Linked DNA regions of Mus musculus. The protein of the gene in region 1 interacts with the protein of each later gene in a biochemical or structural test. Links are inferred from orthologs where the notes say so. Each region holds a gene or a part of one and is shown in the gene's direction. Other genes may lie near its edges.

Region 1 (3,500 bases):
CCTTTCTTATAGAACCTAGACCGCTAGTCCTGGGATTGTACCACCCTCCATCTCAATCAATAATTAATAAGATGCCATATAGCTGTATATTATGGAGGTGTTTTCTTAATTAAGGTTCCCGCCTCTCAGATGGCTTTATCATGTGTCAAGTTGACACAATAAAACTAGTCAGTACACTAGGCTAGCCTCAAACTCAGAGATCTATTCTGTCTCAGCCTCTGGAGGTGCTGGGATTAAAGGTGTGTGCCACCAACTTCTGTATTAGTCAGGGTTCTCTAGAGTCACAGAACTTATGAGTAGTCATATAGTAAGGGAATTTGTTGATAGCTTAGTCTGTAGTCTAACTCCCAACAATGCTCAGCAGCAGCTGTGAATGGAAGCCCAAGGATCTAGCATTGCTCAGTCCCAGAAGGCAAAAGGCTTTTTAAAAGGGGCTAGGGCGCTGAAAATACATGTAAGAGTAGCTGAGGTGAAGCAGCATAACCCCTTGAAAGGTAACTCTCTGAGAGAGATGAAGATGACTGAAACCAGCACTGCAGGGAAGGATTTGCTGGCAGACCTGACACAGAAGAGAAAGGGAAGTGGAAGGAAAAAAGTGGAAGAAGATGCCATGGTTTTCACTAGAAGACCGAGGTTACAGCAGATTCAGGAAATAATAAGAGCTCTGTTTTGACACATAGCAGTCAGTTAGACATCCAAGGACCTATCTGAGTAAGCAGACTAGAGATCCAAATCCAGAAGAGGTCACTTGAAGACTGCATGTAAAATCAAGTGCTTTAGTCCTCCAATACAAAATACTTAATAAACAAGACTGTTTTCCCTTAAAGTAGACTTAAAATCTTACCTTTCCATGCCCTCAAAGAGATAAATGTGTTTCTTGTGTTTCAGGATCTTCAAGATGAAGTTCAAAGGGAGAGTATTAATCTACAAAAACTGCAGGCCCAGAAGCAGCAGGTGCAGGAGCTCCTGGGTGAACTGGATGAGCAGAAAGCCCAGCTGGAGGAGCAGCTCCAGGAAGTCAGGAAAAAGTGTGCTGAGGAGGCCCAGCTGGTAAAGCCTGGCTGCTTACTGACCGACTTGCTACCTCCATCTTGTTCCTGGTTTAGAAAGAAAACATTGCCTGCTTGTTAGTGGCACTGTAGCCAGCAGCTGCTTTATGAAGGCGTTGGAAGGATGCTTATGAAGAGTTATAGTTCTCTGTAGTAGGAATTAGAAGGGTGATATTTTTCCAGCTCTTGATTACACAGATGTTACCTGTGTTACACAGATGCCTCTGAGTTGCTTTTGGCCCCTTCCCTGTTAACTTTCACTGCCAAAAGAATACCTCAAAAGTTCCAGTCCACTAAACTAGACATCTCGTGTCTAATTCCATCTCCCATTCATCTCCATTTATAGATTTCTTCCCTGAAAGCAGAAATAACTAGTCAAGAATCTCAGATCTCCAGTTATGAGGAAGAACTGTTGAAAGCTAGAGAAGAACTAAGTCGCCTACAACAAGAAACAGCACAATTGGAAGAAAGTGTGGAGTCAGGGAAGGCTCAGCTGGAACCTCTTCAGCAGCACCTACAAGAGTCACAACAGGAAATCAGCTCAGTAAGTGGAAACCAGCAGAATGCCCAGAGGGGCCTTGTGTGTCCTTGTTGTAACTTTCTAACACCTGCCCCTTCTTCCTCTGCCTAGTTAGTATCTCTGGTTGTTTAATACTTAAAGTTGGTGTCTAATGGTCATTTACATAATAGATTAGAGTAGGGGCTTTGTAGTTAAAGCTGTTCAGGTTTAAATGCTGGCTCTGTCATTTCATAGGCGAATCACTTTTGAGTATCAGCTTTTTTATCTTTAAAGTTGAAGATTTAACAACAAACCTACTTATTAGGGCTATTATAAGGATTAAATGAGGCAAAACATGAGGTAAAAAAGTTAGAGTCATGGGGAAAAGAAGCTTCAATTGAGAAAATGCTTCTGTGAGATGGGACAAGCCTGCAGGGCATTTTTTTCTTTTCTTTTTTGAGACAGGGTCTTGTCTCTAACAGTCTTGGCTATCCTGGAACTCACTTTGTAGACCAAGCTGGTCTTGAACTCACAGAAATCTACCCTCCCCTGCCTCCCAAGTGCTGAGATTAAAGGCATATCACTATGTCCAGCTTGAAAGACATTTTCTTAATTAGTGATTGATGGGGAGGGCTCAGCCTATTGTGGCTTGTGCCATCCCTGGGCTGATGGTCCTGGGTTGTAAAAAAAAAAAAAGCAGGCTGAGCAAGCCATGAGGAGCCACCCAGTAAGCAGCACTCCTCCATGGCCTCTGCATCAGTTCCTGCCTCCAGGTTCCTGCCCTGTTTGAGTTCCTGTCCTGAATTCCATTAATGATGAACAATGCTGTGGAAGTGTAAGCCAAATGATCCTTCTCCTCCCCAAGTTGCTTTGGTCATGAGGTTTCATCACAGCAGTAATAACTCTAAGACACTGAACAACTTACTGGGTTTTTTTGGGATTCCAATTTTTAGATCAATTTTTCTTAGTGAAATCATTTAGTTTTCTTGTATCTGTTTATTATTATATATTGATTCTTCCATTTGTGTCTTACGGTTGAATTCATTTGACTAGTTTAGGTCAAAACAGCTTTATCCTTTGTTTATTGGACTTTGTGTGACTTATTTTTTTAGAAGAAGTAGTTCTCAGAGACCTGACAGAAATTTCATAAGGCTTACAAAAACAAATGCATGCATGCTGACATTGCAGGAGGACTCACTGGGAGAGATTATTGAAGCCTTTAAGTCATGCTTCATTCCTAGAGGAATCTGCTAATAGGAAGCAAACTCATCCCTGAGTTAGTCTAGGGGCATAGATATTTGTGATATATTTATTTCTAGGATTAAATTGTTTTGTATTTCTACTTTGTATTGGCAGATGCAAATGAGATTGGAAATGAAAGATCTGGAAACTGATAATAACCAATCAAATTGGAGCAGTAGCCCACAAAGCGTTCTTGTTAATGGTGCTACAGATTACTGTAGCCTCAGCACCAGCAGCAGTGAAACAGCCAACTTCAACGAACATGCTGAAGGCCAAAACAACCTAGAGTCTGAACCCACACACCAGGAGTCCTCAGTGAGTTTTTGTTTCATAGTGTTTATTATTAAGTTTCCCCCTCGACTCCCCCCACAGATTGATGAAGATCAAAGTTAGTGTGTACAGACTTATGTGCAGAGACCAGGGGGCGTCCTCAAAGTGTCACTCCTTAGATGCTGTTCACTTGTTTTTAAAAAAATAGGGCCTCGGAGATCTAGAGCTTACCAATTAGACTAGGGTGACTGGCCGGAAGCCCCAGGTGTCTGTCTGTCTACATCACCCCTGCTCTGGGTTTACAAGCACACACCACCACTTTTGGCTTTTTGCATGGATGCTGGGGATCTGAACTCAGTCCACACTTGAGCAGCAGGCTCTTTATCAAATAGGCTCTCTCCAGCCCCAGAGCAGTGTTTTATCAGCATTGTATATAATAG
Region 2 (3,500 bases), on another chromosome or scaffold:
TCTCCTTTTGCTAACAATTTATAGATAACCAGCTGCCATCTTTAGGGAGCTTCTACCCAGAGGCCAGAAATTTATTCTTTAGATTAAGAAAACAATATAAATATATCATTTTTATAGATTAAAAAAAAAACAAAAACAAATGTATGCTATTTCTCTTTAGGTTCTAGCCATAAATATTCTTGGTCGATTCTTATTGAACAATGACAAAAATATTAGGTAAGTCAACTGAAAATTTTTTCATATATTTTATATTATAAAAATTAGTATTTTACAGAGTGGCTTTGCTCAAGATTTTATATATATATATATATATATATATATATATATGTATATTATGTATTGTGTGATCTAGAATTTGAAGTAAGAAATTTTAGTTTTAGTTTAGTCTTAAAATTGCTGTTTTGTAAATAATTTGAGGATTTTCTTTGTGGCTTAATGTTTAATTTATAAGTTAAGGGCAAACATCATATAAAGGGCCAAATGGTAAACATTTTAGGCTTTCTGAACCACAGGGTCTTTGTAGCAGTTACTTAATTACATTGCTTTGGTGGAGGTGGTAGTGGTGACAGTTTTGAAACAGGATTTTTCCATGTAGTCCTGGTTGTTCTGGAACTCAATTTGCAGACTAGGCTGGCCTTGAACTTAGAGATCCACCTGCCTCTGCCTCCTAAGTGTTGGTATTAAAGGCAGGCACCACCATGCCCAGCTTTAAATTCAAGTTCTTATAAATAGATAGGAGCAGTTTTTGGTATTGGTATTAAAAAAGAGCAGAAAACATTTAAATGATGAAATTAAAGTAATTTCCTTTTGTACATTGTGGGTAAGGCAGTGTGAAAAAGCATATATACTGTATTTTTTTCTTGGGAAGATTTAGTCAGTTACTGTTAGAAGTTTGAATAGGGCCTGGGGTGGGGGTGGTGGGTGGCGGTGGCGCACGCCTTTAATCCCAGCTCTTGGGAGGCAGAGGCAGGCGGATTTCTGAGTTCGAGGCCAGCCTGGTCTACAGAGTGAGTTCCAGGACAGCCAGGGCTATACAGAGAAACCCTGTCTCGAAAAACCAAAAACAAAAGCAAAACCCCCAAAACAAGAAGTTTGAATGGATGCTGTGAAAGCAAGGCTAGTTCCAAAGACTCCCCACTTGTCCCAACTGTCGTTTCTGCTCCTGTTGCCATAATGATGCTACTTCCTAGTCACTAGCTCTGTGCTCACCTTGACATACTTTCAGATGTGTGCATCTCCTCATCTGTTGGACAGCTTTGTTATTATTCAGACAGAGGGAAAACTTCCTTGAGTTTTACATTTTAGCTTATTTATTATGAAACATTGTTCTGTGCAGATATGTTGCTCTGACATCTCTGTTGAAGACTGTGCAGACAGATCATAACGCTGTACAGAGGCATAGAAGCACAATTGTGGACTGTCTGAAAGATCTGGATGTCTCCATAAAAAGGTAAGAAAGAGAGTCTCTCTCCAGCCTGGTAAGTGGAACAGATTTTTGATAAGGCTGTGTCTGTCCTCTACCAATTTGATAGTTTGTTGAAATTTTGAGAGCCAAGCTTTTAGGTATTTAGTCCCTGTGTTCAGAAAGGAGTTCCAGTTATAGAGACCCGTGGGAAATACTGAATTGTGCACTGAGAGTGCTCTTGGTTCTTAGGTAAAATAATTGGCGCAGTGTACTGGGCCAGTGTTTCCTTAGCAGAGGTGCTGTGTTACGTGTGCTGGAGGATGAAGTAAGGAGTGATCCATCGGCTAAGTGTTTTCCCACTGTGCTGACACTCACATTGCTGACAGTGCACGTTTTCACAGCACCTCATGATCCCAGAGGCAAGTGTGAGAAAATCTCCATGGAGACATGACTGTAGGCAGTTGTCACTCTCAAATGTCATAAATCTCTCTGTTGAGTGGAATCTGGCAGTTCTTCTCATAGAAGTGTGGAATTTATAGTTTGCTTTAGTGAACGTTTACTGTGTTCAAATTCAAGACAAAGGAGATTTAAAGTGATCTTTGAAGTCATTTAGTCAACAAACATTTATGTACACAGAACAAATGCTAAGTGCTTGAACAATCTACAGATAAGACCTAGAATTAGTAATACCAGCTTTTTTTGTTTTGGTTTTGTTTTTGTATTTTGAGACACAGTTTCTCTGTGTATTAGCCCTGGCTGTCCTGTAACTCTCTTTTTGTAGGCCAGACTGACCTTAAACTCAGAGATTCGCCTGGCTTTGCCTCCCAATTACTAGGATTAAAGGTGTGCACTACCATGACTGCTTTAGTAATACCAGCTCTTATGATATTCCCCTCTGGATTACCCCTCTACCACCCCCTCTCCTATGCCCCCTTTGCCTCTATGAGGGCGCTCCTCCACCCATTCACCCACTCCCACCTCACCCCTCAGCACCCCCTGTGCTGGGGCCTCATGCCTCCCTCCCTTCTCATTGATGTCAGATAAGGCTATCATCTGCTACATATGTATCTGGAGTCCTGGCTCCCTCCATGTATAATCTTTGGTTGGTGGTTTAGTCCCTGTGAACTCTGAGTGGTCCAGTTAGTTGATATTAATACTAGCTTTTTTTTTTAATTACGTATTTTCCTCAATTACATTTCCAATGCTATCCCAAAAGTCCTCCCCCCCCCCCCAACTCCCCTACCCACCCATTCCCATATTTTGGCCCTGGCGTTCCCCTGTACTGGGGCATATAAAGTTTGCCTGTCCAATGGGCATCTCTTTGCAGTGATGGCCGACTAGGCCATCTTTTGATACATATGCAGCTAGAGTCAAGAGCTCCGGGGTACTGGTTAGTTCATAATGTGGCACCTACAGGGTTGCAGATCTCTTTAGCTCCTTGGATACGTTCTCTAGCTCCTCCATTGGGGGCCCTGTGGTCCATCTAATAGTTGACTGTGAGCATCCACTTCTGTGTTTGCTAGGCCCTGGCCTAGTCTCACAAGAGACAGCTATATCAGGGTCCTTTCAGCAAACACTTGCTAGTGTATGCAATGGTGTCAAAAATATGGAACGCTTCACGAATTTGTGTGTCATCCCTACGCAGGGGCCATGCTAATCTTCTCTGTATCGTTCCAATTTTTAGTATATGTGCTGCGAGCACTAATACTACTAGCTTTTAAAAGAGCTTTGGAAAAGGGTTTTATGGCACCTTCCTTCTTAGTTAGTTCTCACAGTAAGTCATTAAGAAGCAAGTAAGTTCTGTGCCTGATTAATAGACTCATTAAATTATAGTCATCAAATGATCAGGTGACTATAACCCTTGAAACTTTGACCCTTAAACTTTAACCCTTGAAAAGGGCAATTCTAGAAATAGAAGTCAGACCTTCTTTCTCTTATTTTCGTTGGGCTAGGGTATTTGACAGAAGATGCAACAATAAGAGCTGATCCTCAAGCCAGAGCTGTTTCTCATTGTGACTCCACACCTAACATTTTCCCTACCTTTTCATTACACTGTTGCCTCTGATGTAAAATGTAGGTAGAGGGCCACCCAGTT
Region 3 (4,292 bases), on another chromosome or scaffold:
TCCCATTTCCTGTGTCCTCATCACGGAGATACGACTGAGTCATGTCGAGAATGAGGGCTGCTATGGGGGTGCACACCCCTGAAAGGGCCTGGGAAGTCTTGAGTTCTAGACCAGCACCTGCCTAGAACCAGTCAATGACAGGTGACAGTGATCACAGGTCAAAACCTGTTCCATCCGACTCTGATGGCTTTGCTTCAGCCCCTGGAACCCACCCTACTCCAGCTCTGGACACAGCAATGGCATGCATGCACACATCCACACACATATGGGGAGGAGAGAGAGGGAGGAAGGAAGGGAGGGAGGGAGGGAGGGAGGGAGAGAGAGAGAGAGAGAGAGATGCTTTTCTTACCATTCTCAAATCCCAGAACCCAAAGGTGACTCGAGGGCTCTTGGGCCAACAAAAGGACATGTGAAAAATGTGAACAGCATGGAGAATGGAGAGCGGGCTATCTTACCAATTGTGGCAGATGGTCACCAGTCAGCTGGGTGTGGGGCCTATCTAAATGTTTAATCTTTATTGTTTGAATTGATGCATAAATTGATTAATTGATTCATTGGTAGTGTGCACATGCCACAGGTTAGAGGATACTTTTCAGGACTCTCTCAAAAAATCCAGGCTTTGCTACAAGCATCTTTGCCCACTGAGCCATCTCACCGGCCCTGAAGCTAGTATTTAGCTATGTATGGTTGCCATCAGAACCCGGCATCATTTGGGGCAGAGCTGCAGTAGATGGTTCAAGTAAGAAGTGGGGCAGCCTCAGTCTGGGATGGACCTGGATTTGATTCCCACCACAGGAAAATGCCCAAACTGAGGTGTCTGGGGTCCAAGGCTGCAGGGGCATGTACTGGAGATGAAGGGCACTTAGCTTTCTGGTTGTGCCCAGGCCAGTGGTCCCACTTCCTTGGAGGTGCTTCTGGGGCAGGGAGAGAGATGGCTCAGTAGTCCTGAGGATCATCATGCTGCCATGTGACCCTGAACAAGAAACGGAGCCCAGGCCGGGGAGTTAAGTCTCTCGAAGTTGTCATATGGGAGTGGAGTGGACATGTGGCTCTTGCTTAATGCTGGGGCAGCCTGGCTTCATCACCAGCACACAGCCTGAATAAATAAATGGCATGTCACATGAATGGATAGACCAGAGTTGCTATATGACCTCCAAAGCAACTCCTAGCCATGTTCCTTGATTCCTTTGTTTGTAAAATGAGGCTCAATATTAAATGTCACCTAATTCACAGCCTCGGAGGGGTTCTCCAAAGAGCCATGTATGCAGTAGGTACTTAATAAAAGCTATCCCCTCTTTCCCTCCCAGTCTCCCGAGAGACTTGACAGGTGCAGAGATCAAGGAGCTTCTCCTGTCACTTTAAAATATGCAAATAGCCTGCGGATGAATTTCCAGGCTCAGCCAACCAGTGCAGGGTTTATGAAGCACCGCGGGGCGGAGCTCCTCCTGACCACACCCATGGCGGGGCCAGCAGCGCGCTCCGCAGCGCGCGGGGAGGGCGGGGCGCGGGTCTGGAGCGCGCAGGTAGCGCCGCGAGAGGCGGTGAGTGTCCCCGGCGCGGGGCTCCGGTGCGGGGTGCGGGGTGCAGGACGCGGGGGCGGGGTGCGGGGCGGGGACGCAGCCTCCATCCTGACCCGGCCCGAGCGCAGGTGCCGTCTGCAGAAGGCGGGGCGCCACTCTATGGCATCTCTCAATCCTGGGCTGGGAGGCTGAGACCCCCCCCAGGACCCCCAATCCCTCTTCCGGGTCTCTAGCCTGGCCCTAAGCTGGGGGCCGCCTCCCTCGCTGCCCCTCTTCCTCGCCTGGGAACGAGGGTCTCCTCCTTTCCTTTGCACCCGCTCTAGGGTTGGTAGGCTGGTGGGGGTTCTGTAGGGCGAGTGTGGTGGAATTGCGGGGTATCTGGAGTATGGAGCGCGGGATCCCCTCCCGGGGGAACGGGGCCTGGAGAGGCCTGGAGCCTGCACCAGGGACTCCCGCGCCCTGTTAGGGGGGCAGCCGGCATCTGCTCCAAGGGACAGAATTAGTCTAGGTGAATGAGGATGGGGTGCAGAGAAGGTCGGGGATGGCCGCCCCTCCACTTGCCCTCAGCGTCGCAGGACCTGCTTCATGGTGACCTTGGGCAGGTGACAGCACCTCCCTGATCCTTAGTCTCCTCCTCAGAATATAGAGGTTGAGGAAGCCAGACTATCTGTCTCAAATTCCCAACACCTGTGCCCCATTTTCTCCAGATGGGGACCACAATCTTTAGTCAAATGTTAGGGCACTCTGGTTTTGGCACTTTAAAAGGGGTTGAGCCTGGTGTGGTCATTACAATCCTCTGGTGGCTGAGGCTGGAAGATCTGCAGCTTGAGGCCAGCCTGGGCTACATTCACAGACTCTGCCTCATTAAAAAAGCATAAACAAAACAAACCATGATTTTGATTGATGGATACAGTCTAGCCTGGGGCGGAGCAGCGAGACCTAAGGCCAGCAGAGGACAGTTTCTATCTGACCATAAGATGGACGGGCCTCCAATCAAGACCCAGACTTTGTCACTGTGGTCCCACCCATGTGGCTGCCCAGGTCACACCCTGACCCACATACCATCACCTACAATAGGGTTCCTAGGCTGGTTCCTGGGCGGGGTCCCAAGTGGAAGGTCAGGTCTTAGTCCCTGCCTCTTGCAGGATAGTAGGGTGAGTCCCAGGCAGGAAGCCTGACACCCCCAAATTTGTGTGCCCAGACTGGACTTAAACTGAGCCTTCTGTGAAGTGGACTGAAAGTCTGTAGGAAGATCAGAGGTGGTTGTGGGAGTGACAGCGCGCCGTAAACACCCACTCCTATGATAGTAATTATGATATTGCATTCATTAAATGGGGTCACAGCCAAGGAGGCAGTGAGATGTCTTTGAAGGGTGTGACCAGTGTCACTAGCACCCCAAGGACTTGGGTACACAGTGGTGCTCAAAGTATGTGTGACAAATGAAATGACTCAGTGGAAGGCTTGCACAGTGGCCTCAGTTTCCCTGTAGATTTCTGGCTGGTGTGGGAGGGGAGGCAGTGAGGGTCACACTAGGGATCAATGGCTGTGGGCACAGCCAGCCTGTATCCAACCCCCAGAGTGCAGCTCTGGTCTAGTCTTGCCTGGCTCAGTTCCCTGGTGCTGTTCACCCACCTAAGCCTCAGGTTTTGGGGACTCGGTGTCAGGAGATGGGGTGCTTGCTCTGTGCCTCTGAGCAGTGTCTGTCCCTGGACCTTATTCTAGTATTGTAGAGCCCAGAAAGCCCCAGGTTACATTAGGTAAACTGTCTTAGGCTAAAACATTTTCAGAGGCCTCTATTGGTGTTTTAACTTCTTTCCAAATCACACGGTTTAAAAACACAAAACGAAACCCCAAGAACAAGGGGCTGAGAGACGCCTTGTAGTACTTAATATTTACACCACACCATCACCCTAGCACCCAGAGGAGGAGACAGGAGGATCAAAAATGTGAGGCCATCCTCTGCTACATAGTGAATTTTGAGGCCAGCCTCAGCTACTTGAGACCATTTCTAAAAACAAACTTTAATCTGTTGATCCTAAAGTAATTGTAAGAATATTTGAGTTTCCCTTTCTGAGGGTGAGGCTTCACCTGTCTTCAAGCCTCGGTTTCCACTCATGGGCATACTGACCTAGCGCAGGCCAAGGTAGACACTTGTGGCTGTCTGTCTCTCTGGTAATGATCATGTCGCCTCCAGTCTGCTCCCTCACCTCCCCCATTTGTGTGGCTGCCCTGTGACTATGGGGAGGTCCCAGGGATGCTGGGCGGGGAGGTGACGGTTGGGTGGCAGGCAGGGCGGGCCAGGCTTCCTGTCCTCCCCCAGACACAGAGGCCTCCAGTTAGTGCTGGCGGAAGTGTCAGGGGTCATAGCCTCCCGGTGCCTACCCCATCCTTCAGGGGCCCCAACTCTCAGTGCCCATCGGTGAGTTTGACCCCAATCTTTGTCTCCTCAGAGCAGGAAGTTATCCCACAGCCGTGGCTCCGGGTCTGGGGCCAACGGTCGGTCTGTCACTTCCTGGCCAGGTGGCAGCCTCTGGGCCTATCCTTGGCCCTACTCTTCAGGCGGGAGGCCCTGATCTGGGTGCAGGTTGTGGCCCATCAAGGGCTGCTGGGTAGAGCCAGATGGGTGGTCATGGCCCTGATAGCTGGTATCTAGCCAGGTGGGGTAGGGAACAGCATGAAGTATGCCCCCTAAGAGTGGCTTTTATGTTAGGGTGGCGGGAAGCAGGGTGCTGTCTAACATGAGCTCTGGGGACATTGATGGCTTCCGGGAGA
Region 4 (4,132 bases), about 6.6 Mb from region 1:
TAATACTAAGTGAGGGTGTTATAAATGATCAGCCCTATTGTTAGTTTCTGACCTGATCTTCAATAAAGAGATTTTCATAGCCCCGGCTTTGCTATTCTTCCTTAGTTTAAAGACCTTTCTCTAGCCTTTTCATCATCTGCTCCCTACAGTGATAGGCCTTCCTTACTCGATTCAATTTATTTCTTTTTGCTTTGTTTTAGCCTGGTTAAACCCAGGATCACAGGACACCAGGCCTGGGAGTCCCTCCCTTTGAAGGACTCCTAGGACTTTTGATAGCACTCAGGTGACAGACCCTCAGCTCCACCAGACCTTGTGCCTGAACCTTTCCCCATTCTAGCAAGTTGCCAAGGCCCAGGCTCCGCCCATTCCTCCAGCGCAACCTGGACCGATTGCCTTCCTCTCTGGATTTCCCTTGGGGTGAACGACTGGGCTCCTAGGCGACTGAAGACTGCAGGAGGAGCGTCTTGCAAAACCTGCCATGTAGCAGCGGCTTCAGTTGGCAGCTGTAGCCGAGGCTGCAAGCGAGGCTCCCCACCTGGGGCAGGCGTCTGCCCAGCTCGGCTGGAGGACGCGGTGACGGAGGGCCCCCGCAGCCCCGGGGTCGCGGCTGCGGAGCGGAGTGCGTGGGAGGAGGCGACTCGCGCACGCCTGAGGCGGCCAACGCTTAGACTCTTGCCTTCAATCCCCCTCTCCCGCCTCTCGCCCCAGAAATGAGCTGGAGCATCGCCTGTTTGATTCCAGAGCCCGAATCGGGTGGGTTCTTTTGTTTCTTTGTTTTAATGACAGTTGCCAGCCCTTGGGCATGTCATGCGCAATTAATTTCCTGCTTCCTTTCAAGGCAGCTGGGATGAATTTTTTTTCCTGCATCATCCTTTGGGGGATGGTTGTTTATGATGTGACGTCAGCGAATTGATTTTTCTCTCGTGAATGAGAGGAAGAGACACACAAGGAGAGACAGAGAGACCTAGACAGAGAGACAGGGCGCGGGGGGTGTGGGGGCCAGAGAGACCTAAAGAGAGCGCGAGCCAGCCACAGATGACAGATGTGCACAGAGGCCAAGCGCTGACATTTGAAATTCCTTCAGGTCAAAGTGAGGTTGGAATGGGAGTGTAAACGTGTGTTGCTAAGATCTGGAATTACTAAGAAGTGTTTTCTTAAAAAAATAAGTAAAAGAGAGAAAAACGAAAAAAAAAAAAAAATCCCTGGGATCAGCCTCCTGGGCTTCTTTCTTGCTGGCATCCCCTGTCAGGGTGGCAGTTCAGATCATCGGGCGCCCCAGAGCCGCAATAGGCTTGCAAGGACCACGAGGAGGGGCGGGGGAAGTGCGTCACCAGGTGGGGAAGGGGCTGTGTGTTTGGAGAGGAGCGGGAGGCAGTGGGGGTAGCGAGCAATGGGGACGGGAAATGGGTTCCGTGCGCTCTCCGGGGGTATTGTGTCAGGAGATGCAGGCTGGCTACCATGTGACGCGGTCCAGAGCTGAAGGGATTGGCCGAGGCAGCGCAGGCGGTGCAGCTCGCCGGCTTGCTGTTCCTCTCTGCCTTTCTCTCACAGCATCTTCCTGGGAGACTGTAGGTGAAGCAGCACTAGCTGCATCCATGGCCGGTCTTTCGGGTTAACACTTGTCTCCTTTGGCTTGGCAGCAAGCAGAGCAGACCTCAGCGGCAGCTTTGTGAGGACTTAGCTGGGACCTGGAAGCGTATCCTCCTGTGTTTTTTCTGACTTCTTGGAAAATAAGGAATGCAATTCTGCCACCATGATGGAAGGTAGGATTCCCTCTGCTGTGGTTGGCTGGCTCCAGGCAAGATTTGGGTAGACCAGTATGGAAGAATGCATGCAGCCCGTGGTGTCTGTGTCTAGAACCTGGCTGCCAGGATTTTTGCAAGCAGATACTGCAGCTTGCTTGCAACCGGGCCCAGGCTTAGACTAATGGAATCAAACCACAGGGTTTCTGTCTAGCTCAGAATCTCCACAGCTCCCAGCCTCTTTGAAAAGAGAAAAGCCTAAGTGTTTGCAGAGAGCTGAGGCAGCCAAGAATAAGGTCTCAGAACAAACAAGTTGGGGAAGAAGATAAGGGGTTTCTGTGGAAGGTTAAGCACGCTGGTTAAATCTTTGCAATGGAAAGTATTTTCCGAAATTGATATTAGACAGAAGAGGTCATCGAGAGAGTTATCTATGCTGGCATTTTCAGTGAACTGCTTACATATCTTATAAGATATTCTGATCTTTGAGGTTTGCATTATAGTATTGGAGTGAGGGGTGCAACAAATTTGGTTCATAAACTGGAGTTTTATGAGGGCTGTCATTGCAGCAGAATGAACGATCTAAGAAAAAGACCTGGGCCTCTTTGCTCCTTCATCAGGTTCAGACCAGTTCGTAGAGGAAATGGCTCTTAGTTTAGCATCAAGTGATTAGTTGCTGATTATCTTACTGCATTTAATACTAAGTGTAGGGAGGACCTTCCCCTGGGAGATGCTATTTAAACTACATTTTATTCTACCAGCTTGCCCTTTCCAGTCTAAGATAGTGACAGCCAACATCACCTCAGAAAAAGCAACAAATTGGTCAGAGAAGAAGCAGACAGCTCTATGTTGCCTTTGATTATCTGTTTTCACATTGCAGGATGGGGTAAAACTCCTGGCCTTTCCTAAGATGACAGGCAGAAATTTTGGACCCAGGCTAGATTTTATAATGCAGAACCTAGTGCATAATGGGTCTCAGATCAGCCACAGAAATGTCAGAGGGGCCACCTAAAGCCAAGGTCTGTCCTACCAGTTGCCAATGGTCAATGGACCTTAGCAATTTACCAAACTGGAATAAAAGGGAGATGGTTTCAACAAAACCAGTGAAGCTCCCCTTGTCTCTCCGCCACCCTCCTTTCCCCCTTCCCACCCCCCCCCCCCCGTCATCATGTCAAATGTCATTAGTGTGACTCCAGGGAGAGAAGAATTCTGGGGTAGAAGCTCATAGATTCAGGGAAATAGCCTTAAATGGAGGCAGCGCATCATTCCGTTTAGAGCCTGGTCTTGTGTTCAGAGAGCTAAGTGAGATTGTTAAGATTCTATGGTTAAATCAATTTTAGTTAATTCCAAATGAATGTAATCTTTGACTAGCAAGGCAAGATAAACAGAAAAAGTGTAACTTACATACTTTTTAATTCAAAGCCCACAAGACTTATCCTCATCAGGAAAAAAAAAAAGATAACTTGTCTATAGAAGGGTACTATTTTTATAGCTAAATTTGACAAAGGACGTGTTGAAATGCATCTGCATACATTCTGATTCAGTTCTAATCTTCCATGGGAAATTTGAGGACCGTTTCTTTCACTTCTGGGCTTGAAACTATCCCATGAGTTCTTTGGAGGTTGGTAGCATTTCCTGATGATCACTAGTGGTTCTCCTGGTAATCAGGTCTGTTGTGCCATCCGGAACATCAGCTTGAAGGCCTAAGATAAGCTTATCTGAGCTGCAGAAACTGAAACGGGAACTCTAACAAAGACTGGTGTTGAGATGAAGTAGCACTGTGGTTAGCTTGCCCAATTTATCTAATGGAGGATGTTATCTTCTCACTGGTGGGATCAGAGATGACAGGATGGGTTCTGCGGCCTCTAATGAATCTCCACAGGAGAAATTAGACAGGTGTGCCCCCTGCTTTCGAATTCCACGTGAAACGAATAAACATTTTCTATTTGTAATTCCTATTTAAAAGGTCTCCTATTAATTGTTCAGTGACCTTGGAAAAACAGGTAGGACCCTTAATCAGAAATCTATTTCCCAGTCAGTGGCTTTCCAACTAAATTGCCAGTCTTTTTCACAACGCCTATGTCTATTTCTGATACTGCATCCCAGAATTCCTGCTCTAAATTTGTCTTACTCCGAAGATGTGTTACAGCAGTTATGTCCATTGAACCACCCCCAGAGAATACCAGGGTATTGCACATGCCACAATAACCTTGGAAAGATGAGAACTCACCCAAGGTGCCAGAAATGCTGTCCTAGCAGGTCTCAGGTGAAATGCCATGTGTGTCTTGTGAGATTACACTGCCAAGCATCTGCATAGTCTGTTCTCAGCCAGAGCCTATGTGACACATACACATGGTCACACATGCATGTGCAGTCATGCACATAAACACAGT
Region 5 (4,292 bases), on another chromosome or scaffold:
TTTTAAAGTAGAGTAGTTGTACAGTCAGATTGATGTTTTAGAAAACAGTAGTCAGACCAGATTAGAATGAAATGGGCCTTTATTTGAAGCAGTCTAAGTAATGGCCTTTTGCAATAAGTTAAACAAAAAAGTCTCAAAATAGTTGATTTGAACACTGGCCACATACAGGCCTGTCTACCTGAGAGGCTTAGAAAAGAGGATCAAGAGTTCAAGGCCAGTCCCAGCAACAAGAGTTCCCTTTTGAAACATTAGCTGCTTTAGGTAACATTATTTCTGACCCTCACAGTGACCCTGAGAATTAACAGTTACTACCATATCTGACAGACATATAAACTAAGGATTAGAACTTTCCGTTTACTTGCATCAGTCACATCACCATCTCTGGCAGCACAGCATTCACTCAGGTCTGTCTCATTGTAAAGCTTACAGGGTGCCCCAGTTACTACATAAGCTAGATTGTGACCCAAACCTCAGGCATGCATGGTTTATTAATCGTGAGTGTTGGTTGAACAGCATTCATTCAGTAAGTATATGTGAGCAACTCCTCTACTGATCAGTTCCAGGAAGGCAGGCATAAACAGGGAACAGGACAGTATCCTGTCCTTGCAGACTTTACCTCACTGGGAATAGGTAGGTAATGTAAACAAAGACATGTTTTAGTTTGAGACAGTAATTAAGCAAAGGTACCACAAAGAAAAATCAGGGATTTGGGGGAGGTGGCTTTGCCTTTGGGTTCCATCCCCACCAGGTTCCATGAGGAGTGAGCAGAGAGGAAGAGAGAAAAGTGACAGGAAAGGCTCCAAGACACAGAGTGCTTGCCTGCCTGGGATGTGCGGGGCTGTAGTTTTAATCGCTTGCCCTACAGACTAGAAAAAGAGTGACTGTTCACCCAAGCACCATGAGCTCTCCTGGCTCTTACCTAATATCCATCAAATCAGGAAGACTTGAATCTTTCTTTTGTCTACCAGTAGTAATAAAGATAGCTACAAATGAAGGGGGTGGGGAAGAGTCTGAGAATGAATGAATCATGGGACAAAGGGCATGGAGTGAATTAGATATTAAAGAGGTAACATTGGTAGATAAGGCCACAGGAAGAAAGAATGGGGAGTTGGGCATGTAACTAACTCAGTTGGCAAAATGTGTGCCTGGCAGGCACAAAATATTAGTTCAGTCCTTAGCACCAAACTGAGGCACAGTAGGGCATGGCTGTAATCCCGGCATTTGAGAGGTATCAAGCAGGTGAGAAGTTAAACGCCGCCCTTGTTGGGGCAGTTGTCATTGGAGGGGACTGTAGTTGTCTTTAAAAAGCGGACTGAGAGCAGTTTTAGACTCACTGTCACTCCGAGAGGAAGTATGCTAACATACTAAGCTATAACCCTCGTGTGGGCCCTCAGGGTTTGGGGTGGGTTTTGTACTAAAATGGTCATCTGAAGTTTGTGTAAGAAGTAACTTTGGTATTTCTTCACTGTGTCTTCAGGTTGTAAAAGTTAACATGAACAAACTACGGCAAAGCTTCAGGAGAAAGAAAGACGTTTATGTCCCAGAGGCCAGCCGTCCACATCAGTGGCAGACAGATGAAGAAGGAGTCCGCACTGGAAAGTGTAGCTTCCCAGTTAAGGTAAAACACACATTGTTGTGTCTGGCCAGTAGATCACAACCTGGGTTCTAGCCTGGAAAGGCATTTTGGAAACCTGGAAGAGAAGAGGGGCTGGGCTTCGGGAGATAAGGAAGGAACCCAGACAAAGCTCTCTGCTCAAGGTTCAATTTTTACTATTTCGGCACTCAGTTATAAAGGAAGGGGGAGGGGCCCAATTCCCGCCAAATAATCCAGTAGCAGGGTGATCACGTGATGCCTTCAGAACAGCAAAGCGGCAGGTTCCAGCAGTAGGCGTGGCAGAAAGATTGAGCGGGAAGCTCCACCCCTGAGCAAGCAGGTTTCAGGCTGGGGGAGGGGAGACTATAACACATATCTTTGTGGTTCTCTGTGGGGAAATAAACAAAAACATAAAAGCAAACCAAACAAAAAACTGATAGCCCATAGAATATGTAATCCTATGACTCACGCTAGTGAAGGAGCCTTCCAAAATCGTATTCTGCTTCAGTGATGGAATTAAATAAGAAAAAAATACATTGTGCAGTTAGTGATTTTTCTTTTTGTGTTTAAGTTATTTAAATAAGGCTGTGTGCTACATAATCTGGAACAAGTATAAGTGAGAACAGTTTGTGTGTGGGTTGGTGGGACTCCTAGGAGCTCACTATGGGCCTTGAGTGTGCTTGGCAAGCCCACTACCACTGGGCTACATCCCTGCCTTCTTTTTACTTCCTTGAGAAGGGATCTCACTAAGTTATCTAGGCTGTCCTTGAACTTACTCTGTAGCCCTTAGGTAGGCTTTGAACTTGTGATCGTCCTTCCTCAGCTCCTGAGTAAGTGAGGTTTCCCAGAAGCCTCCACTCTCAGGTCTGGCCAAGTAAGAACACTTCTAATGAGAACATAAGTCCTGAGACGTCTACAGATCCTCAGTTACCAAGAATTAAATCATTTTCAGTGAGGTAGGGGTTTATTTCCAGCACTCTCCAACAAAAGAAAAGTCAAAAGAAGCGCCTCTCCTCCCCACTCCCATTCAGGGCTAACTGGCTTGTTTGCTGCTTCTTCTATTTTTTTCTGAATATTTATTATTTATATGTAAGCACACTGTAGCTGTCTTCAGACACACTAGTAGAGGGGGTCAGATGTCATTACAGATGGTTGTGAGCCACCATGTGGTTGCTGAGATTTGAACTCAGGACCTTCGGAAGAACAGTCAGTGCTCTTAACTGCTGAGCCAGCTCTCCAGCCCTGTTTGCTTCTTCTTGTCTTCACTTTTAAACTCTTCCCACCATTAGTTCTGCTCTTGTCTTCTGTACTTATAATTTCTTGTTCCATCAATGCTAGATGATTATCTTGATGTTCCATCATAAAAAAAAGAAATACTTTCACTTATTTTCAAATTTATATCAGATATTTTTACTTCATTTTCTTTACATGTTTCACGTTTTATTTCATTTTCTTCACATATGTTTTCTTCACTAATGTTTACATTCTCTTCTATAAATAGTAATTATATCTCCTATATATTGAGCTTGTTCTAAAAGTTTTCATTATTAATTAGGCATTAAATTTAATGCCAATCTAAGGAATATCCTACAGTTTCTTCTCTTTGATATTATTGATTCATTGATATGTTTGACAGATAATTGCTGAATGTCTGCTGTCTACCAAGTATTGTTCTAGGAACCAGGAGTGCAGTGAGCAGCACAGACAGGATCTCTACCTAGTGTTGTTCATGGTAGTGTATGCGAGAGTGTGAGAAAACAATATCTGCTATACCAGAAAGGAATTGTGGATGAAAGAAATAAATGGGGTTGATACGGTTTAAAATATTTTGGTTATGGAAGTCCTCATTAGGGGGCAAAATGTCATTTCAGAAAACACCCAAAGAAATTCAGAAAATAAGCATTTCAGGTATTGAAGGAAACAGAATGTAGCCAAGGGAGCAACAGTGGAGTGGCTCTTCAGCAAGAGGCACCTGGCATAGTAAGGGGCACAGAGAAAACCACCTTGTATAGAACCAGAGGAGCAGGGAGCCATGAAAGCAGGTAGGTAGAAGGTAGATTCAGTAGTTCAGTACTTTCAAATAATATCACACCTACTAGCTGCATTTTTTGATACAATACTCTTTATAAATTCTAAATTACTATTTATATTCAATTATGTATATGAAGAAGTAAATTTTGCTAAAATTTGTATCTAGCATGTACAGTCTTCTCTCTTTTTTTTTAGATTTATTTATTATATTTATATGAGTACACTGTTGCTGGGATTTGAACTCAGGACCTCTGGAAGAGCAGTTAGTGCTCTTAACCGCTGAGCCATCTCTCCAGCCCCTCCCCCCTTTTTTTTAATCTTTTTTTTTTTAACAGTCTTCTCTTGATTGACTTAGTTATATTTGTGTGAAAGTCACTGCATGTGTGCATATTTAAAATAGAATTAGAGTCAGTAAAAGATACTCTGAGTAAGCTTTTTCTATATTACAAGTGCCCAATATTAGATGTGTCATATATTCATTCTTGGGCCCTTGCCTACTAGCTAGAAGTATTGTTCCTACAAATGATCTCATTACCGTCCTTAAACACTGAAAAATTATTTGCCTAGAACATTTTGGGGGTGGAAGTTGGGAGATACAGAGTCTTGCTACATAGATCAGGATAACCTCTACTAGCAAGCCCAATTCCATCTTAAGGATTTTGACTTT
Region 6 (4,185 bases), on another chromosome or scaffold:
AACATGACAGTTGTGGCTTGGGGAACACTGTAGGGTGCATGATGCAGAAGTGACCCCTTCTCTCCTCTGGGGTCTTGCCTCTGGCCACTGCCCCGTGTACTTAAGTGACTCAGGCCTGCCTGGTTTTCTTCATTTCTGTGATGTCTCGCTTCTGTGCCTTGTTCTTGGGTACTGGAGAACGTTTGGGTAAACACCCTCATACTGAACTGAAGTCCTCTGTGCAGTGTGGTGAGGTGTTCTCTCATTTCCTGTGCTGATTCTGTACTTTAAATGAATGCTGAGTAGATGCTAGGAGCCAACCTTGTTCACAGATATGCCTCTTGTTCCTACAGATCTTCGTGGAGTTCACCTCTGTGTTTGACTGCCAGAAAGCCATGCAGGGTCTAACCGGTCGCAAGTTCGCCAACAGAGTGGTGGTCACAAAATACTGTGACCCTGATTCTTACCACCGTCGGGACTTCTGGTAGAGGTGGCTGGGGGAGGGTGGGGGCAGGGCTGGCTGGGGACTTTCCCCCCACCTGTCCCCTCCTCCTTTCCCCCCTCTTGAAGAAGATGGGCAGAGGAGTGACAGCCGAATGACAGCCGGCAGCAACTGGAATGGCAGCAATTAAGGGGGGTGGGGGGTGGGGGGCTAGGGCAGGAAGGGGACTGGGCAAGTGCACACAGGCCCACACAGACACATGCACCCACACAGACACAGAGGGAACGGGCTGGGATGGGGACTGTGTGCACAGCAGGGCGGGTAGGACCTCCACAGCCCCTTCCCAAACAGCCTCTTATCCCTTACACCCCTTTCCTCCTCTCTTCCCCCATGGTAGGAACATAGCGTGTTTATATTTTATGGCCAAACTATTTTGAATTTTGTTGTCTGGCCCTCAGTGCCCTGCCCTCTCCCTTTGCAGGACCACAGCTCCCGTCCTTTGGCTTCTGGTCCTTCCTGTTCTCCACCCTGGTTTCTTAAGTAGTTGGTTCTTCTCCTTAGTCTTCCTGACTCAACCCGTGGTCTCTGTCCCGCTCCCCCTCTCTGTGGCAGTTTCATATTTGCTAATACGAATTTGCTCATTAAACATTTTGTTGTATTTTACTTTATGGATCCTCATCTGTGTCCAGTGTGTCCGCCCGTCTCTTTCGGCCGAGGGTGTGGAGGGTGGCACCCAGGGAAGGAGGCAGGCCTGAGGGTCCCGCGAGGGTAGCCACAGTGGAGGCTTCAAGGCTTGGACCTTTACGCGTCTCCACTGCTGCGTAGATGCGGAAGTGACGCAAGGGCATAAGGACGCGCAGTCCCGTGCGCCGGAAATGGTGCCGGGGTGGGTTTGGTCGCGGAAGTGGAGGCTGCCGGGCGAAGTGCAGAGGGCGGGGCACGTGAGTTCATTTCCGCTTCCGGTCCGCTGCCACCTTCGGTTGCTTCCCGTCCGCTCGGCGGCTCCCCTCCCCCGCCCGGCTCTCTGCGCCCCTCCCGGGCGCCGGGGCGGCGGGGCCGTCGCTGTGCGGCCCTCCGTGCGTCTGTGCGTGCGCACGTGCGCACTTCTGCTTCCCGCAGCTCGGCGCGCGCCCCGCGACACCGAGGCCGAGCGGGGGCAGGGGGCTGACCGTCATGACCCCTGGAAGCCCGGTATAAGCGGGCCGAGGTGAGCGAGGGGCGCAATGCTGGCCTCCGTCGCGGCAAGTCCGGTGTTCCGGCCTGGGCCGTGGCGCGCGCGGGTCCAGCCAGCCTCGGAGCCGGTGTTCCAGCCGCTGATGGCTTGTGGCTGCTTTTGTACCGCTGTGCCCGGGTCGGGTTTGCCTGCCGGTGTGTGTCTTTTTTTGGGATTGTCAGTGTCCCCGTCTCGCGTGGCCCTGCTGTCTGTGTTGCTCTGCTTCTGTGTTTCTGTGTTTGTACAAAAGGGCTTGGAGATCCGAGTGCTGTTTGTGTCTTGGATTGCTCCGTGTTCCTGTCAGGATGCATGCAATGCTTGTATTTTCTGGGTTTCTGTGTCTTCATTTCCCCAGACTGGTCTCCCTCTTGGTGCATTATTTCTCTCCGGGTCATTGCTGTCGTCCCCAGGCCCAAAATTCCTTTCTAGGAACCCACTGCTTTTGCTTAGGATGTGCTTCCCAGGTTTCTGAGTCTCTGGTGTTCTGACAAGAGCTCTGGCTGTGGATTCCAAAGCCCCCGCTGCTTGCCTTGGTCTTCAGTTTTCCTAGTCTTCTAAACGGAAGCATTCATAATTCCTGCACCACAGGGTCTCTGCGCATTGGAGTGGTCCTGGTAAAGTGCCTTACAGTGTCTGGCCTGGAGTTAAGCATGTGATTATTAGTAGCTCTAGTTACTAGAGATTTTGTCTCGCTTAGTATTTGATACCAGGTTTTTGAGTCCCCCTTGGGGACTCACTATATTGTTTGTACTGTTTAATAAGAAATTCTAAATTAACTGTGGAAAATGGCCCCATTTTCAGCAGCATTTGTGAGATTTAGTATGTTTTTTTTGAACATGCTTGAAGTAGGTAGTTGGTGTTAGGATAGTGCGTCTTTAGATGCCACCCTTTTGGAAATGTTTTTTCTGATAATAATAGCAGCCAGGAGTACCGAGCGCCTACTATCTGTGGGGCACAGAACCAAGTTCTTTATGTACCCGTCTTATTTAATCAGCAAGCTTGCCGGGCAGCACCCCTCCCTTTGTTACACAGTTAGGTGAACTGAGTCACAGGGTTGTTTTGCTGGTTGCTTATGTGGCCGGGATTTGAGTGCAAATTTTGTGTTCTTTTAAGTTATATCTCTTCCCACCCCCCCCCAGCCCTGGGTGTCATGTGTGTGTTTTGTTTCAGGGTCCCTGTCTTTCTGTCCTCCCTGTCCTCCTGCCTCGCTGTATTGCTTTCTTTTTGCCCGAGTTTTGGTGTGTCTCTTCTCTTCTCTTCTCTTCTCTTCTCTTCTCTTCTCTTCTCTTCTCTTCTCTCTCTCCCCCCCTCCCTCTTTCTCTCCCTTTCTCCCTCCCTTTCTCTCCCCTCCCCCAGTCTCCTTATGTTTGTCATATGTTTGTCTTCTGGTGTCTGTCCAGGCCTGACTTGGGACCCAGCTGCTTTTTTTTTTTTTTTTTCTTTGCCTAGTTATGCCTGTTTGCAGGTGCTCCATTTTCTGGCCTGAATTCAAGGTAAAGAGCAGCCTTTCCTATTCTCCTATGTCTTCCTTCAGGTTGGATCATGGTAGGGCTCAGTAAATCTCCCTCCATGGCTTGTTGGAGAGGCACAGACTGGTGATCGGAGTCTACTCTGGACCCAGGCTGCTCCAGTTGTGAGGTGTGTGTCCCTGGGCAAGGTGCTAATGTGCCCTTGTTCCCTCCTGTGTAAAGTGGCTGTGAGTCATGGATTTGTAAGGATTGAGTTGATAGCGCAAAGGACTTAATGGGTGCCTAGAAGGATGTAAAGGTTGTGGAAGTGCTTGTTAATATTCCCCTCATTTGCTTGATTTCTGCCCTTGATGCTTTCTGACAGCTGGTCACAGCACAGGTTAGTTTATTTAGGTTAATTTAAAAGCATGAGTTTAATGGCACACACCTTTAACTCCGTACTTGGGAGGGGAGGGACACATGGATTTAGCTCTTCAAGTTCCAGGACAGTCAAGGCCATGTAGAGAGATGTTGTGTCACCCCCTCCCCCCAACCCACAAAAAAATGAGTTTATACAGGTAATATGGGTTTGATTGTTGAGTCTGCTTTTGCATTTATGATATGACCTTGACCAAGTTATTAAACTTCCATGAGGCCATTGTCTACATTCATTGTTAGATGATATGTGCCTCGTGGCACAGTTGGTATCCATTAGTGGGGACTCCTACATTTCTTATCTCTCTGCTCCCTTGAGCTTCCCTCCCTACCCTCTGGACACCTAGTCCCCTGGGCACCCCCACTCCCCAGTCTCCCACTGCCTCAGGCTATCTCCTCTGTCTCCCTACCATTTTTTTAAATCCCATCATTGGCCTCTTTTGCCATGACTCCTGTCCCAGGGTTGTTTGCTTCTCTCTTTCTTTCTTTCTTTCTTTCTTCCTTCCTTCCTTCCTTCCTTCCTTCCTTCCTTCCTTCCTTCCTTCCTTCCTTTCTTTCTTTCTTTCTTTCTTTCTTTCTTTCTTTCTTTCTTTCTTTCTTTCTTTCTTTCTTTCTTTCTCAATTTCCTTCCTGCACTGTTGATTGAATGGTTTTTCCCAGCCAGCTTC

Evidence for each region.
Region 2: the proteins of Eps15 (region 1) and Ap1g1 form a complex in vitro, tested with the Homo sapiens proteins (2 studies listed by BioGRID). The link is inferred for Mus musculus from reciprocal best matches to the Homo sapiens genes EPS15 and AP1G1.
Region 3: the proteins of Eps15 (region 1) and Fcho1 form a complex in vitro, tested with the Homo sapiens proteins (2 studies listed by BioGRID). The link is inferred for Mus musculus from reciprocal best matches to the Homo sapiens genes EPS15 and FCHO1.
Region 4: the proteins of Eps15 (region 1) and Sgip1 form a complex in vitro, tested with the Homo sapiens proteins (2 studies listed by BioGRID, with this or other methods). The link is inferred for Mus musculus from reciprocal best matches to the Homo sapiens genes EPS15 and SGIP1.
Region 5: the proteins of Eps15 (region 1) and Numb form a complex in vitro, tested with the Homo sapiens proteins (2 studies listed by BioGRID and IntAct, with this or other methods). The link is inferred for Mus musculus from reciprocal best matches to the Homo sapiens genes EPS15 and NUMB.
Region 6: the proteins of Eps15 (region 1) and Epn1 form a complex in vitro, tested with the Homo sapiens proteins (4 studies listed by BioGRID and IntAct, with this or other methods). The link is inferred for Mus musculus from reciprocal best matches to the Homo sapiens genes EPS15 and EPN1.

What each region holds. Positions count from the first base shown.
Region 1 is NC_000070.6:109,360,275-109,363,774, forward strand, and holds part of Eps15 (epidermal growth factor receptor substrate 15), read left to right. Parts: intron 1-888; coding exon 889-1,050; intron 1,051-1,395; coding exon 1,396-1,593; intron 1,594-2,904; coding exon 2,905-3,105; intron 3,106-3,500. UniProt on the Homo sapiens protein: Involved in cell growth regulation. May be involved in the regulation of mitogenic signals and control of cell proliferation. Involved in the internalization of ligand-inducible receptors of the receptor tyrosine kinase (RTK) type, in particular EGFR.
Region 2 is NC_000074.6:109,837,583-109,841,082, forward strand, and holds part of Ap1g1 (AP-1 complex subunit gamma-1), read left to right. Parts: intron 1-160; coding exon 161-216; intron 217-1,336; coding exon 1,337-1,450; intron 1,451-1,729; exon of another isoform or gene 1,730-1,793; intron 1,794-3,005; exon of another isoform or gene 3,006-3,107; intron 3,108-3,500. UniProt on the Homo sapiens protein: Subunit of clathrin-associated adaptor protein complex 1 that plays a role in protein sorting in the late-Golgi/trans-Golgi network (TGN) and/or endosomes.
Region 3 is NC_000074.6:71,722,882-71,727,173, reverse strand, and holds the start of Fcho1 (F-BAR domain only protein 1), read left to right. Parts: upstream 1-1,492; 5' UTR 1,493-1,541; intron 1,542-3,829; exon of another isoform or gene 3,830-3,939; intron 3,940-4,292. UniProt on the Homo sapiens protein: Functions in an early step of clathrin-mediated endocytosis. Has both a membrane binding/bending activity and the ability to recruit proteins essential to the formation of functional clathrin-coated pits.
Region 4 is NC_000070.6:102,758,803-102,762,934, forward strand, and holds the start of Sgip1 (SH3-containing GRB2-like protein 3-interacting protein 1), read left to right. Parts: upstream 1-1,332; 5' UTR 1,333-1,753; coding exon 1,754-1,763; intron 1,764-4,132.
Region 5 is NC_000078.6:83,839,544-83,843,835, reverse strand, and holds the start of Numb (protein numb homolog), read left to right. Parts: upstream 1-1,492; coding exon 1,493-1,618; intron 1,619-1,912; exon of another isoform or gene 1,913-1,982; intron 1,983-4,292. UniProt on the Homo sapiens protein: Regulates clathrin-mediated receptor endocytosis. Plays a role in the process of neurogenesis.
Region 6 is NC_000073.6:5,078,850-5,083,034, forward strand, and holds the start of Epn1 (epsin-1), read left to right. Parts: upstream 1-1,385; 5' UTR 1,386-1,628; exon of another isoform or gene 1,629-1,789; intron 1,790-3,083; exon of another isoform or gene 3,084-3,127; intron 3,128-3,168; 5' UTR 3,169-3,272; intron 3,273-4,185. Other genes in the region: U2af2 (splicing factor U2AF 65 kDa subunit), read left to right, coding at 333-467. UniProt on the Homo sapiens protein: Binds to membranes enriched in phosphatidylinositol 4,5-bisphosphate (PtdIns(4,5)P2). Modifies membrane curvature and facilitates the formation of clathrin-coated invaginations. Regulates receptor-mediated endocytosis.